Caenorhabditis elegans: one gene and its partner. The protein of the gene in region 1 purifies or fractionates together with the protein of each later gene. This does not show direct contact. Each region holds a gene or a part of one and is shown in the gene's direction. Other genes may lie near its edges.

The links.
Region 2: the proteins of B0198.3 (region 1) and gtnt-40 fractionate together in Caenorhabditis elegans (co-fractionation; one large-scale study listed by BioGRID). This does not show direct contact.

What each region holds. Positions count from the first base shown.
Region 1 is NC_003284.9:12,052,441-12,060,339, reverse strand, and holds the start of B0198.3 (Protein kinase domain-containing protein), read left to right. Parts: upstream 1-3,266; 5' UTR 3,267-3,325; intron 3,326-7,899.
Region 2 is NC_003283.11:7,749,968-7,758,509, reverse strand, and holds gtnt-40 (Glycosyltransferase family 92 protein), read left to right. Parts: upstream 1-3,852; 5' UTR 3,853-4,340; intron 4,341-4,692; coding exon 4,693-4,977; intron 4,978-5,157; coding exon 5,158-5,243; intron 5,244-5,289; coding exon 5,290-5,474; intron 5,475-5,536; coding exon 5,537-5,787; intron 5,788-5,953; coding exon 5,954-6,351; intron 6,352-6,400; coding exon 6,401-6,566; 3' UTR 6,567-6,743; downstream 6,744-8,542. Other genes in the region: fbxl-5 (F-box domain-containing protein), read right to left, coding at 7,317-7,556, 7,857-8,042, 8,368-8,506.

The sequences.
Region 1 (7,899 bases):
AATGTTACCATTATAAACAGACGTAACCATTTTTAAATATTTATCACGTTTTTCTGTCTAACTGTCAAAACCAATACCGAAGACTGTAACCAATCATATTATCTTACATCTTCAGTGTTTTTTCATTTCCTCAAGTGTGGGATAAGAAGATGCTTGTTTGAACCATATGTCATATTGACAGCCTGTTGTTTTTCAAAAGCTTAACACCAAATCCCATGTTCCATATGCAAGTTTCTTCTAATTGACACTATTGGTTCACTAAATCTGGCTTTCTCACTCGCGAACAGGACAGTGGCATTAACTATACTTCCCTAAGATGCTCTCAAGAACCTTTTTGGTCTAATTATTTGCGGGTGAACACATACGTACAAACACATGTACAACATCATCTTACCGCACAAGACCAGCTGCCCGCGCGAGTCTTGTATGTTCCTTATTTGAAGTGCGCTGTTACAGTGAGCCACGATGATCAGCTGTTGCTTGCGTTCTCAGAAGCTGTACACTATTCGTTTTCCACTTCTTTTGTGGTTTTGACCAACACATTTCTGAATTCAAAAAGTCGCCACACCTTTTCCGCGAACACTTTTCCTTAACTTTGCCTCAATCAAACAGTGAAGACGTCCCCTTGTATGTGAATATAATAAAATGACATAAGGCCCCAAGCAATGTTAGTGTGATGTGATCAGATCAAATTATGGTCACCGATTACCGCCAAAGAAAATCGAAACGCTTCGTGCATTTTTTTTTGTCTCTTCCAAGTTTCCACCCTCCAACACGGTAGGCTTGTGTTGAAATGCATAGGGTTGTGTCGTAATATCGGAGAGATGAGGTATGATGAAGATGAAAACGTATATTCATTTTAATTGGTTGCCAGTATAAGTGAAATAAGCATGAGAATGTATGAGCGAGGAGGGCAATTCAAGTTCAGTTTTCTGCCTGATGAGAAACAGTGTAATCCTAAAACAAACATAATACCTGAAGTTTTACTCAGTTATAAGGTTTTGATCTCCACGGTTTACCGAGTACCTGTTTAAGTTATTCTTTATTCAGAAAACCCCACATATTTCAAACTAGATTTTTGATTTCAAGTTCTTGCTTTTTTCCAGCAATGAAAAATGCGAAACAAATGTTTTAAACAACTTGAGATTAATCAGAAAATGTTTGTATAGGTTAGGAGCTTATAAGCAACTGAACTAACCCTAACACTTATTGATTAGACAAGTCAGCTTTTCTATTGGCTCTCATACAATCAGTGTATATAAAACATACATATTACAATATATTACACTATTATTGGCACAGTGACACAGTTTTCCACAAATTGATGTTTTACAATGTGCTATTACTAGCTTTTTTGTATGATCATAAAGTTAATTGTGTTTAGTTCAAAAATTACATTCAAGATATAATCTATTTCTTATTTGTTTGTCTTGAAAATAAGCTACGTGCATAGTATTCATTCACAAGAATTTGATCCTCAATATATCGAAATGATTTGCAATTTTTTCACAAGAGTCTATGTTGTTTCCTGTAATGGAAATTTGTATGAATCATTGAATAGATGGGAGACGTAGGCCATAAAAACAATATTTAAACTGAAATTTTTCTTTATATTGGTACATATATTTCTAATCAGTTTGTTCTTCTTGTTTTGCTTGGTTATATTGATTCAGAAGCTGGAAAAATGCTAGAATTTTCATGGTAAACCCGAAAATTAATCTAGAACGTGCTCATTCCGTATATGCATTTAGTAAAACATGTTGTTTTAGAATTAAAACTGTTTTTTTTACTGAACCATATAATGGCGGATCATTCTTTTGGGCTTAAAATAAATTGTTTAATAGTCTGAACAGTACCCATATTCAAACAAATTTGAAAGACACAAAACACTTTGAATAATTAAAATCAACAAGCCAATGAAAATCAATAATAAGCCCCGCCCATATTTTGGTAGTTTTTATACTTGCTTTCATTGTTCTTCTCACAAAAAAATGTGAATGGAACACTGACTAAATTTACAAGATAATGTTCACATTTATGCGTAACAAACATGAATAATGTTTCAAACTAAAACTGAATGTTCTCATTGAAACTGTAAATCTGTTTTTTCTGTCATCCCGTCATCCGCGTTAAAGCGAATTTCACTTAATTACAAGTATCATCCATGACTTGGCCATCAATTTTCGGATTCCTTTCTGTCTCTCCTTGTTGTGCCCTTGTCCCGATATCGTGGCATTGTTTCAAAGCTCTCTTTTACACTGTCCCGTCCTTTCGCTAACGCTCATGACAAATTGCAAGCTATTAGGACTGTTTTGAACCAGCGGGCAACATACTGCTACTTTCCAAATTTATGTCACAAACAACTTATTTTCTCTACATGAAACTTCTAGTAAACCAAACCGCTTGACCATTCAACAATCCTGGAAAAAGCGGAAAATGAGTAAAAAAAAATTATTGTCATCTGTATCTACAATTTGCCACTTTTCCTTTTCTTCCAGTTTGGCAGACTCAGCAGGACATCGGTTTCAAGGGTATAATTGGGCAGACTGACATGAATACTGTACATGGGATTTGGCTTCTCCTCAGTTTTGGCAAAATTGTACTTTTGATTCAATAAATTTAAGTATGTCCTGAATTTTTTTACACATATTTTTCAAATACTGATCTATTCGAAAACATGAAAAATTCAATTTGTTCCTCGCTGTTGCACTTCGGTTCCGATAGAGTCATTGTGATCAGTTTTTTTTCGTTTTCGTTTTGTAAGACTTCTTTCTAACAAATAGAACAAAATTATAAAAATCTTAGTGTATTACTATTAAATTTTTTAAATTTCCGACAGATATTTGAGTACATGCATATAGTGAAACTCAACCAAAACTTACTAAGAACTTTTCGCTTTGTTGGTTTTTTTCAAGACTATTTCATTTTCATGTTTTTGAACTATCACTTTTGGGATGGTTATTAATTAACCGGCTGTTTCAGATCTTGTTGTCAATTCTCACGCGTTTAAAATTCGTCATTTTATCCTCAAATTCAATTTTCCTGCAAATGATAAAACTCTCTTTTGTTTTTGTGGCATTGTTTGCAGACGCATTTTCGTCAACTATTTGTCAACTTTTCACCCCCACATTCTATCCTAGCTATCATTCCTAGTTTTGCTACAAAATATGTTTCCCACAACACCTTGTGTATTTACATTTGTTTCTTCTTTCTTCCCGCTTTCAAGTTTTTATTTTCCCCAAAAAATACAAATTAATCCAATTACAGTGGCACGCAAGGATCACGGAGCGGATTGGTCACTGCACACATCAATCGTCGTGACAAGGTGAGTCGCCAGACGTAGTGAGGACAGGAGACAGGCGCTACAAATAGGATTACAAGTGTTGTCACTCAGGATTTCATATCATACAAGACCCGAGAACCTGACAATGCCTCTTTTCATCGGCCTTCGGCAGAAATTACCATAAGCCGATGACAAATTGAGCTATGAAGTGCAGATGTGGGAAATAAGGGGAGGCAGAAAGCTTAGAGATTTAAAAGTGGGAACGTAACGGGGAAAATAATAAGAAAGTAAAATTGATTGCTAGGTAATTTAACAATATTTTGACATTTGTCAGCGGGTTTTTTAACAAGAGAAAACTAAAAACAAATCATAGCTACCATAATTCTAGGAGTCGATTTTAGTCTACAGAGAACTGTATAAGATAGAATATTGCAAATATTTAAATCGGAAACGGTGATAACTAACAGGAACCAGTATTGAACAAGAAGAACGATGACTGAGGGAGGAACTTGTGCATACAAAAGAACCAGCGCCTTCCAAAAAAGCGCCTTTTATGAAACACAATTTTTGAACCTTTTTTGAATGGATGCATCTGCTCTCTCGGCACGGCTTACATGTAGTATTCCCATTTCGATTGAATCGCTTTCAAAATTGCAATTCCGTGAGAATAGTGGGTGTTGCACGGGTTGAACCGAAACGGAAAGCGACCCTCCTTTTCGACATGACCGATGTCAAATGACACGTGTCGTTTGGGCTTCGCGATTTTGATTTACTTGTCTTTTGCTTTCACCCCCCACACGGTGTCGTCTTCCTCCGGAACCCTGATTTACGATGCGAAGTCAGAGAGGCGCGGTTTTGGGAGACCAGAGGAGGGGACCACATTTTCATACACACCTTTCTTTTTCGGTCCTTCTCTCTTTCGTCATCAAAGAAAACCAAAACCAAAGAAAGTGGTCATTATTTTTGCCACCTTCTCGGATTTCATGTATATATCGTTAGTGTTATGGAGAATGACGAGACTGGTCAGTGAAGGATAGGCGCTCACTATTTCCGGTGCAGCTTTTATTCAAAAATGTATTATCCGCCAGTCGGTTGGTTTTTATTTTGGAGAGTATTATATTTAATGTTAATAGTTTCCAGGAACAAATATAGGTGTTTGCTGCTCTGTTAGTATAGCTTTTTATACACGCTGAAACTTATTTTCGATCAAGACATGAACGGCTTTCATAAAAAATTTTATAACATGGGATCAAATGTACGGAACAAGTTGTTTTTTCCCTTCTGTACTCACTAGAATTATTGTAGTAAAACTGTCACAGTTAAACAGGTATTTGAAAAACGTTGTTCTAGAAATATAATTCCAGCACGTACCTAATAGTTCTAGATTTCGCATAAATTTCGAAAACAGTTGCTACAGTTTTAAAAACAGGCACGAAGCCGATAGTGAAATTCCGGTCAATCAATTGTTTCTGTTTTAAGGTCAAAAAATCTAATTCTTTAAATGCAACCAAATCTGAGATTCTATTTTGAAATGTTTAATTTCAAGACTCTTTCAAAGCATTTTGTGAAAGCTTCAATAATTTGCCCTTTAGAAATTTCGAATTAAAACAGGCAATTTAAGCGAGTACTTCAACTCGAACACCCTCATCTCTATCCCCCCCCCTCCCAGTTAGTTGATCCAAGTTGATCTAATTGTGTCAACTCGCGAAAGTTGGCATATACTTTCTCTCTCCCTCCGTCCTCAAAGGCTCTAAAGAGCTTGTTTGTACTTGTACCTTGATGGGATATTTACCAATTTGCCCTCTCCTACGCACGTGTCAATGGATCTTCTTTTTTGCATAGTGTCTCGAGTTTCGCGTTTTGGCACACTGTCTTTGTGTTTTTGTCGGCAATTAGCTGTGAAAAAAGGACCGATTGTTTGGATGTTTGGAGACCAAAAGCGGCTAACGTGTAATTGACAGGAAAGACTATACTGTCGTGTTATGGTTTTAGGATAACTACTTATTTTACTTTCATTTTGTGGGTGACGTGAAAGTTTCAATGTGTGGTTTGAAGTTTGATCGGTTGGTGTGTATAATCGAAACGCAATTCGGAACGGAAAATTGAAATTACAAAAATGTTGAAAAATAAAAACGTGAGGACCATTTCTAAGCTTACAAATATAAAATACTTATAAAATGTTGAGTAATGAACGAATTATTTATTTCATTTCAAGTTGCGTTTCGATTTCCGATACCGTTGTATCTTTGTCCCGAAAAAATAAATTGTCCTGGGTGGCTGCAAATGGTCCACACAGTTACTGAATATGTGAGTCGGACAACTTCAAAGCTGAGCTGTTATTTTATGGTGTTAGTCAGATCTATGAACCAAAGTAGTTTTAAAATAAATGTCACGAATTTCAATCCTTTTTACCTCTCATTAAGACGTACAAAACAGTTCGTTTGCCTACCTGTCTGTCGGCATTTCCGTTCACTTTGATATCGGCACCAAGTGCTTCCGATGGTTATCGGATCCTTTCCATACCTTTCTAACGGTGTCTTCCTTCATCTCATCCAACCACCTCTTTATTCGTTTTTTGTGCATTGGATAAGTGTGTCTCTATATGTTTTTTTTTTTGCCCTCTTCTTATCCCCGCGCGCACTGTTCGCGCCCCTCCCTCTCACCGTTCACGGGCACTTTTATAGGCTTTGTTCTTCTTTTCACGAAAAAGGCGGCAAAAAGGGTGCCGACAAGTCTGGTCGGCCTTATTCAATTCGAACCAGCGAATTGTAGATATACATATGTCATAATTCGAGATTTTTTCTCTAGTGATACGTCCCTCCCAGAGGTGTTCTTTACATTCTCGCGTGCCAAGGGGTTTTTTGCGAGAGAGCTCAGCAAAATGTGCATTTTCACACATTTCGTGCTATTTTGGTATGCCGCTATTCTTAAAATTTTTTGTTGTCAAATTATATTTCATTTTAAATTTTGAAAGCTACTGAGCCATTTTTGAAGTTTTTTATTGTAGTAATTAAAAATAGTGTAAAGCGTTTTTCCCAATTTAAAATTTTTCAATATAAAAAATTTGAAGCAATGTATTATTAAATGTACCTCTTTGCTTTTAATATGACCTTTCAAACTCTGTCGACTCAAAACATCTTCCAAGTGTCAAAAAATGGCATGCAAATAGAGAAACCCTTACCTATGAATCACCCAGCTATGACGGGCCATCATTTGGTGACACCTCCTCAATGGTGTGCACCAATTCTTATTTGCACCCTGGCATCTTTTTTTGTGAGCCCACATCAATATATTGAACATTGTTGGTGTCGTATATAAACATTTTGAAGCTTAACTCTTTTGAAACTTAGTCTTGGAAGTGTTCCAATGTCCTTGTACACGATGTGTCAGCAGGTGTTGTGAGAATTGTGAGAACTGTCCTCTTCCCCCAGAAAATAAACTTGTAAGCACAGTCTAACCAAACAATTGATATATATGCATTTGCACTGCTTCCTCCTCTTTTCCATTTTTAGACCACTTAGTCATTTTTGTTCGTTTTGAGAGATATCATGTGTAGATGTCATAAAAAGTTTGTCGCCTTCCTCCTCCTTCTTCTCAACACCTACTCAAAAAAGAGAAACGAACATCGAAAGGTGTTCAGAACCTCCTACGCTATTTTTTCCAAGAAATCTTTAAAAGAAACCACACGTAAAACTGAATTTTCGATATGTGTCAGGTAGTAGAAATTGAAAGACCCAAATTTTTGGCTTTTCAATGTTTTCTTACATTTTCTGTTTCAAATATTATTGGCTAATACTCACGTTTTTTGCTGATAATATCAAAGAAAATTACTATGAAAAATTGAATAAATAAATGGTTAGATATGACACCAGTGACAACTTTTGGAATCGATTTTAAAACATCATAGTAGCAGTAAGTTTAAATTTAACTGTGTTGCATCCTAAATCTGGAATTAATTAAATTTAGCGAAAATAATACATTTATTTCGATTAATTTGTTTTTAGTATTTTTCCAACCATTTTATGGGAAACAAAAAAGCAAAACCGTTAACTGAAACTTAATTTCTATCTTTAATAGTTTTGAGGTTTGACCATTTGATTTTACACCAAATATCCTCCTTCTGTTCCCCGCATGATGCTTCTTCTCCAAATAGTTTCATCTCTCCGGAAACAAACCATTCTCTCCTTTCCCACCGCTTCTCCTCTGTCCCGTCTGCAGAAGTCTCGAGACGGGTCTCCTCCCATTTTTTCCACCATGGGAGCGGCTTGTGTACGTAGACCCCCTCCTTCTTACTTTCCCGCGTCGTGTTTAGAAGAAACAAGAAGAATGATGGCTTGTAGCTCCGCCTTACGTTTTCATGAAGACCTCTCCGTAGTGACTTTCATATTTTCCATTTTCCTTATTTGTATATTTCTATACTTCCTGTGTGAAATTATTGAAAGAGCTATCAATATCAGTCCCTCTTTTTTTTCCAATTTCCGGCGCTCTAACACTAAACCCACAAAACCTAGACAATTACACTGAAAGAGTCGACGCGCCACGCCGCCACGATGAAATTGTGACCGGAGAAGGAGTGCCAATAATTACGGGCTCTTCTCAAAACCAGTCGGCTTCCG
Region 2 (8,542 bases), on another chromosome or scaffold:
AAACATTAGTTTTAAGGATCACGAATAATTTCAATTTTTCTGCTTTGCTTCTTCGTAGAAATGCCGAGGTTGTCACCCAAAAAGTATAATAGTCGTTTTTGCCACAAACAAATTATTTTCAAATCGAAACTGCGTAGTAAAGTGTGAGCCTTTTAAGAAGTACAGTAACCCGGTTGTTGGACAACTTTATTCGATTTCTTTTTCTTAAACAAAACCGAATACCAGGTTTTCAACTACGAAACAACTAAAAATTGCAATTAGATACAAGAGTTTCAATCTCACTTACCAATAACAGCTGCTCGATAAGGGCGGACTATACAAATAGTTGGAAGAGTGTCCAACACAGGAAATATTGAAATTGAAAAAGTATCAATTCCCGACAATTGTCCCAGATTAACATCGAAGAGCGCACAACTTAACAATATTATCAATGGTAACTGGAGGCAAATAATTGGAACCAGTAACTGAACCACTAGGGCATAGAATAATTGCTTTTGTATTGATTTCATATTTTTCGAAATACTCGTATTCTTCGACAATTTCTTAATTTTCGTGTAAGATTTTCTTCCATAAAAAAATATGGAAAAGCAAGTGGAATTCTAAAATTTGGAAAAATACAAAAATAACTATGTAGCCTAAAATTAAAAATACCAAGATCATACTGACTCCAAGCATTCCGTAGATACATGTCCAGTTAATAATTTTCTGGTCTTGTCCATCAATCAGGTAAAATGCGGAGCCAAGTAAACTATATCTTCGGGGCTCAAGCCAAGCTCATTTTGTAAGCCGGATCTAAAAATTTCACAATTTACGAAGCCACTGGAAATAGGCATAAAAAGCCTATTTTTCAGACTGGTCTTCATTTTTTTGAAACTGGATACTAGTTTCCAATTGTTCAGTTCGTAGTTTGTTGGCTTCATAAAGTAGTTGGTCCCATAAAAATACGTGTAATTTTTCCAAAACTGCAAACCTGATAAATTCATCAACCTCGTTGCTCCTCCCAAATGTAAAATAACCGATTGATGCCCAAATAAGCCCACCCAACAAAACCATAAACGAATGCGTGAAAACTCTCCACTTTGTAAAATATGTTGAGTTAATGGTTCTAAAAAAATTAACTATTTAAAAGTGATTGAATTGAACAATTGAATTACTGGCTAATTACAGCGTATCTATATTTGAATAAAACCACAAAGATTACCAAAAAGGATCCGAATAACCCACAGTACGTTGCTGAAAAAATGAGTAAAACTGGAATTGCTCAGTAATTTATATCTAAAGGAGACAAAAATTCCTCGCCTATTCTTTCGCTGGTTTATTTTTTTGATTGTTTTATAGAAAAAGCCTGAACAAACTCGATCTACCATATTAAATTTATTTGTAAAAGTACGATTTACGGAGAAAGAACATGTGAAAGAATTGACGCGGAATCAATTATATTTTCAAAATTCTTTAGAACTTTGTTTTTGACTCACATATTAATACCAACATAATTTCTCTAGATAACCATTTGCATCTTATATCGGACAGAACTATGACTACAGTGTAAAATGAATGAACAATTGGGGAGGTAACAAATTCAATAACTGAATAAAATATTTCAAAGATTGAAGCTCCAATGAGCAAGTATTTGTATTCATTCATGCTTTTCGGAGATCTTAATACGACGAGAATGATCAGCAGCAAGTTCATAAATATCGATGAAATTGTGGAAATTTTGTGAAAAGTGGTTTGAATTAACCGGCATTCAATGCCATTCATTTTTGAGTAAACGAAATAATATCTGTTAGAACCAAAATTTTGTGTTGTAGACAATTAGATGATCTCATGGGATATGTATGTCATTATTGTTATTACATTCACATTAACCAACTGTTTTTGTGATATTAGGCAAACAGAAGTACAGGGTGCGCCAAAAGTATCATAACGCGACGACTTCCAAAAAAAAAAATGATAAAAACCGAGTTTTCACATCTTTTTTTTTGACTAGAAATAAAAAATTGCAAAAATCATTTAAAGAAGTTTTGTTATTACATTTGGCAATTTTAGCGCCACAGGAATGAATTTTAATCTCTCCCTCACTTGCCGTACTTTACATTTCGAATGGAGCATTGGAAAAAATACATCTTCTAATGAGGTGTAGGCGTCCGTTGCCTTCTGGCTATTCAAATTTCAGAAAATCGACAAAGGTCAGTAATTACCACCGGGAACTGTAAGATTTCTGAATATTTTTGAGTACATAATGTTTCATAACCACATGTATCTAGACATAGACTATTCTGCAATTAATCATTGAAACTTTAGGTAAAATGTGATAACACGAGCATCGTATACATATTTACAATGATAACAGCAGCTCTGATTAGACCTAGGTCTGCGCTCAGTTCAAATTGTTTCTATGTTGAGTTGCACTATTTGTTACTACTAATTCTAGAAAAATAAAGAATTTATTGAAAACTTGAAACTTTAAATGTGTAAATTCATTATGTTGCTTTTTTCCAAGCCTTCTTTTTTCATGACTCACATCTTAATATGGTTGTGTGAAGTGGCTTGGAAAAAAGCAACATTACTCAAATAAAATGTTTTTCAAAAATCGAGCTGTCCTTCCTTGTCTGAATGAAAAAAAACGGTTCACGCCACATACAAAAACACACTGGCCAGCTTTTATTATGTGGCTGCAGAGAAAGTCAAATTCACACAACCATATTAAGATGTGAGTCATGAAAAAAGAAAACATCTTCATATTGAACAATATCCTGGAAACTTTAAAAAGAACATTGTGTTGAAAATTTTCAGTTTCAGTCAAAGGTCTTCATGTTTAAGTTTCGAACGTTTGCTTGATTTAATCAAGTTTTCTAGCAAAGAGTAGTTCCTGCTTTTATCTGAAAATACCAGATTTATTTAGAACTAAAACAATGAAAAATCAATTCCAAATTTGCAGTGCAAAATACGTTGCTCCCATCAAAGCTTTATGGCGTCGTAAAAGCTTAAAATATACAAATGAACTCACCCTGATAACACTCAAGACACACCTTTCTGTTTCTGATGTATTTATTTTTACACACGTTCAAGCTAGTATCTGTTTTTTATTTTTTAAATTGTGTTCTTAATTTTGTTCTTAAAAGTTTGAAATGATGCCTGAAAAATTAGAAAATTATTATAGTTAATTTGAGGTGCAAACATGAGGTTTATGAGCAAAATCTATTGCATGTTGCCTTAAATTTATTTTTACCGAAAAATATAATCGGCTCAGGAAGACTCTTTGAAAATTGGTTCCCATGGATTAAAGCTCACTTTTATGAGTCGAGTTTTAAATTAATTTAATTATCGTCAATGTTTTAAAAATACTATAATTACTACAAAAGTTTGACTCTAAAAAGGTATTTTGCAGAAATATATTCTAGAAGAACTAACTAATTAATTTCTGAAGGATTTTCACAAAATTCAGACTACAAGTATTAAAAAAAAACAGAATTTAATGAAATATATATTTTGAACACTTCCTCAATCTTATACCTTCCCCGTTTTTTCTCCTTAGCAACTCCGAGCAAACCAGAGACATCACGAACGTTTCTTTATTTGCAAACTTTAACAATTCTTTGAAAATTGAAAAAAAACACACCTTTCACAGTTTTCTATATTAAAATAAAATGATCAAAACAAACAATTGGAATACTTTTGTACTCGATCATGTATAATCATCATCATGTATATTCATGTATATATTCATGTGCATATTTATATTCATGTATATTTATCAGATTTTACAAGAGTACCTCAAATTTTATGATTTATAAATGTTTGAATATTTGTGGCTACACACCCATATGATTGTCATTTCAGAAAGTTCTGAATCAAACTACATCAGTCATGGAAACTTTTGACGCAATCTCCAATAGTAGTCATATTTTCTGCATTTCTGTATTTTATTAAAAACTGATTCATTTTATTTTGACCACACCCTTTTTCTTATTAATTTTTTTCCAGAAAAGTTTTTGAGGTTTACTTAAAAAATGGTAGCTTCTATTTTACAAAAAAAAAGTCTAATCATTAATCAAAATTATATTTATACGCGTCAGTTTAATTCCAAATAAAATTTTGTAAATAAAACATTTTCAGACAAACATTTTGTTGCGACTTTGAGTTAGTCGAAAAAATTTCATTAATTCAAGAACAAAAGTGTAATCTCCATACTTTTTCGAATTTTTCTCTTCAAAAATGAGATTTCGCGTTTCAAACGTATTAACTCTCTGAAAATCTTGGAAAAAATCATACCCTTACATTACCACGCTCTCCAGAGGTCGAAAAAAAGGACACGCGGAGGTCATATGTGAGCAAAGGTAATTCAAATGCCAAAGTTTTCTGAGGCCATGTGGAATTTGATTTTTTTTCAAATTGATAATTTTTTGAAAATTTGTTCCCTTGTGGAAGTTTATTTTTTCTTCGTTTTTTTATAGCTTTTATCGTTAATTCTCTTTTAAAATTGAACTTTGTAAACTTTTGAAACATTTTTTCTGCAGCGAAAATATTTGTTTCACAGTGAAGATATTTTACTCTCAGTCCAGATCAAATAAAATAATTCTGGCATGTGCCAATATTTTCGTCGTAGGAAGGATGTAATTTTCATTTTTTCTCAAAAGTTCCATTTTTTAAACCTCAAAGTACCGCATAATTTAATTTGAAATCTTTCAGATGCAGAGGATATATCAATTCATACTAATAATCATTTTATTATTATTATTAGTCTTTGACATATTTACCAACAAGCCAGAATTATTTCCAAGTTCTCGAATTTCACCATGCTACACGGAATCGTCACCAACGAGCGGAAAACTGGAATCAAATGCTGAAAAATCAGAAAAATTAATAAATGTGCCATCAACACTGGATTTGTCAAACAAATCATATTTTATTGATGGATTCGATCGGTTTGACTGGTATCAATTTCAATTGTTTAGAAAAACAAATGACAGACCGGTAAGTTTTTTTTAAAATTTCGTGAAGATTCAGTTGTTTTTAAGATGGTTTTTTTAATCTTCTTAAAAACATCTGATTAAAAAAGGGTTACCAAAGCTCTACAATTTTAGCCAGCCCTTTCATATGCATAATATTTTTTTAATAATTTGTGTGAAACCTCAAAATTTTCACGTATTCCAGAAAACAGCCAGCAACATCAGCACGCTGTATGCATATGAATTTGAGCACGAAATTACTGTTACAACAACTTCTTGGAAACGTATGGGGTGAGATTTCAATTTTAGATCATATCTCACTATCAGATAATTCCAGACATCGCGTCTACTGTCGTTACCTTGATGATAACAATATCGAAATTGGAATCCCATTTGAAAGTCTCACGTATCCAGAGTATATTGTCAGCTGTAAAAAGAGAGACGGCACTAAGAAAATTGGGTTAAGTGTCGAAAAGAATGGAGACTTTTTTCCATTACCAATTATTGATAGAATGCTGAAAAGTGAGTTTTATCTACAATTTTTAACGATTTGAAAAAAAAAAAAAAAACTTTGTAAACTTTAGAACCAAAATACGAACTCTCCATGTGTGTTGCATCCATTTACGGCGATGAACCAAAATGGTTGATGTTTATCGAAATGATAGAGCATTTCAAGTTACAAGGTGTCCAACACTTTTACCTTCATATCCATCATGCTTCCGAATATGATATGAGAGTGATTAATGATTATGTGAGAACGGGAGAAGTTGAAGTACACTATCTTATCGAAAGGGATATGCGGGCTGATAACCATTGGCATATGGTTAATCTTGCGGTGAGTTTTTTTTTTCTGAAATGATAGAAGTTAGAAATAGTTGTGTCACATGCATAAGTATTGTGCCAAGTAATTTGTGATAGTAGATCTTGCATGCACACAGGAAGAAGATTCAAGAAAAAATATACCGATTACTTTCAATTTTTGATACTGTCCAATGTTTCAGGACTGCTTAATATGGTCCCGCGGAGAGACAAAATGGACCATCTTCGCTGATCTAGACGAACGAATCTACATGACAAACTATACGGGAACAATTTTGGATTACGTCCAGGTCGTCAAAAATGAAAGTATTGCGAGTATTCAATTCAGACAGCAATGGATAATGAAAACTGAACTGATGCCACCAAAATATGAAGGTGATCGACAGTTGGACAAATGGATGCCAACTCATCGATGGCATAGTTCGAGTGGAATTGGTCCACCGGGACATACTGCAAAATGTATTGTTGATACATCGAAAGTGTTCATCATGTTTATTCATTACGTAACACAATTTTTCCCTGCGACGAATGGTTCGAATTATGTGCAAATTCGTGTTGATCCGGAAGAAGGACTTGTTAGGTAAAGCACAATTGTAACTATTAACTTGTCCAAAAGTCTATTTTTTCAGACATTACCGTGATCTGTCTCTTGGAGATTGGGGACGAAAATGGCTGAATTCAACTCTGAAATTTGGTGCTCTACGAGACACTGACTATCCAAGTGCATTTCTTGGAAAACTGACGGAAAACGTGAAACGGAGAGCAAAATACGTTTATGACAATTACTATGATTGATGATTATGGATAATTTATTGTGCTAGATAAATAATTTTTTAGTATAGTTCCAATTGATCTCAAAACGTGTTTATTTTTTCACTTGTCGTGTTTTAATATCAAAGTTTACTGGTCTTCGTTAGCATTTCACTGATTGTGAAAACAGTTAATTTAAAATTATGTTTAATAAAAAATGATTCGAATAAATTTTACTATTTCAATTGAAAATTTCGAATTTTTGCGCAGAATATGCACGATAACATGGTATCTTTTAAAAAATGTTAAATTTTTATGTTCTTAACCAATTAATTGTAAAAAATTTTAAAGAATATTATTCAGCTTTCAATATTAAAAAATGTTGGGTTCCCTAACAATGACGCACACTGCAGTAGCTACAGTACTGTAGTTGTAAATTGAGATATAAAATCTTACTGTTAGATTTTAACATGCAATTTATAACTACTAGATCATAAAAATTTTTTGATGATGGCAGATTTGTCGTTGTTTCATGTGTTATGTATCTTGTTACTTGTGGGTTCCAATTTCCGGTGATACACTTTTTTGTAAAAGTTTGAACGAAATGTGCAAGACAAAGTGCAATTTGAAAAAATTTCATAGTTTTGAGTTCAATAAATAAATTCACTATCAAAAATTCAAAAAAGAAATAACGGAAATGTGACGGATAAAACCCGCGTAAAGCAAAATGGAAAGTGTCTGGAAATTTCAAAATAAAAAGAAAATTTGTTAACATAAAACAATTTTACAAAAAAATTAGGGTGATATCGCCACAGAGTGTGGACCAATTGGAAAAGGTGCTGGAATGAAAAATTGAAGGCAGAACTTGCCACGGCTTAGACTGATTTTTCGGGAACGAAAGTCGTCGGTCACCTTGAAATCAAGTCCCGGGCACAGGATAAAAGTGAGGAGTGAAGTTTCAGACTGTGATGGTTCTAGAAGAAGTCCGAAATCCAAGTCCATTTTGTTAGGCGTTGAAGCAGTCGAGAGTGCTCTCTGAAAACAGGAAAAATAATGAAAGGAATAATTAAAGACTATATTTAAGGAGTTTTTTCCCATAGCGATAAATTTCCCTACAAGAATTAATTCTGAAACACTAAAGTAAGCAACCTTTCAAACAAATTACGAAAACTTTTTCGGTGCGGAGGTTGACATTTTTGTGGCTACGTGTCAAGTTTAAAAAGTTAAAATCCTGGAAAAAAATAGCCATAAAGCTCCAAATTGGGGGCCAAACTTTCTCATTTTGTGTCCAAATAGAAATACTTCTCCCATTTCATATTACAATCTTAAACTTACAGTCATTAAATGCCTAATTCCATCCACTGTTATTCGACTTGCACACCCATTTCTGAACTGGATTGTGTTTGGCGCTGTTGTCCGTGTAGCCCAGTGAATTAGTGTTTGATCAGTAACTTCGTTGAGAAAACAAGGATATCTTGGTTGAATTTGAATTGTTTCCAAGTGAGTTAGAGACATCAGCACCTGAAAATTGTACAAATGATGGTGGGTTCATCATCACTCCAACTTCTTCAATCTAATATTGTTTAAAAATGTATCCATGAATATTTTTGGTTTTCGAACTATTGAGGTCTGCATGAGGTATGCAGGTAGGCAATTGAGATAACGTGATTGAAGGTTTATTAAATTCTTATGGACTAATTGAATATTATTATTACTTCTAAATATTTAATGAACAAAAATAATTAGTTAACAAATTAACTCTGAGTGTTCTTTCAAACGCGAGTGTTCCCAATTTCTAGGAAACTTTGTCAAAATCTGATCTTTTTTTTTGCAAAAAAATCCTTACCTTGTCAGAGATCAATGACGGATGAAATGTGCAGAAATCAATGTATAGATGCTTGATGGTCATTCGAGACAGCAAGTCCATGAATTGTGTCCATGAGAGTCGGATATGACACAGTGACAGCGCCAGCGTGGTGACATGTCTGTAACGATCAAGTTGGCTTGTTGACACGTGTCAA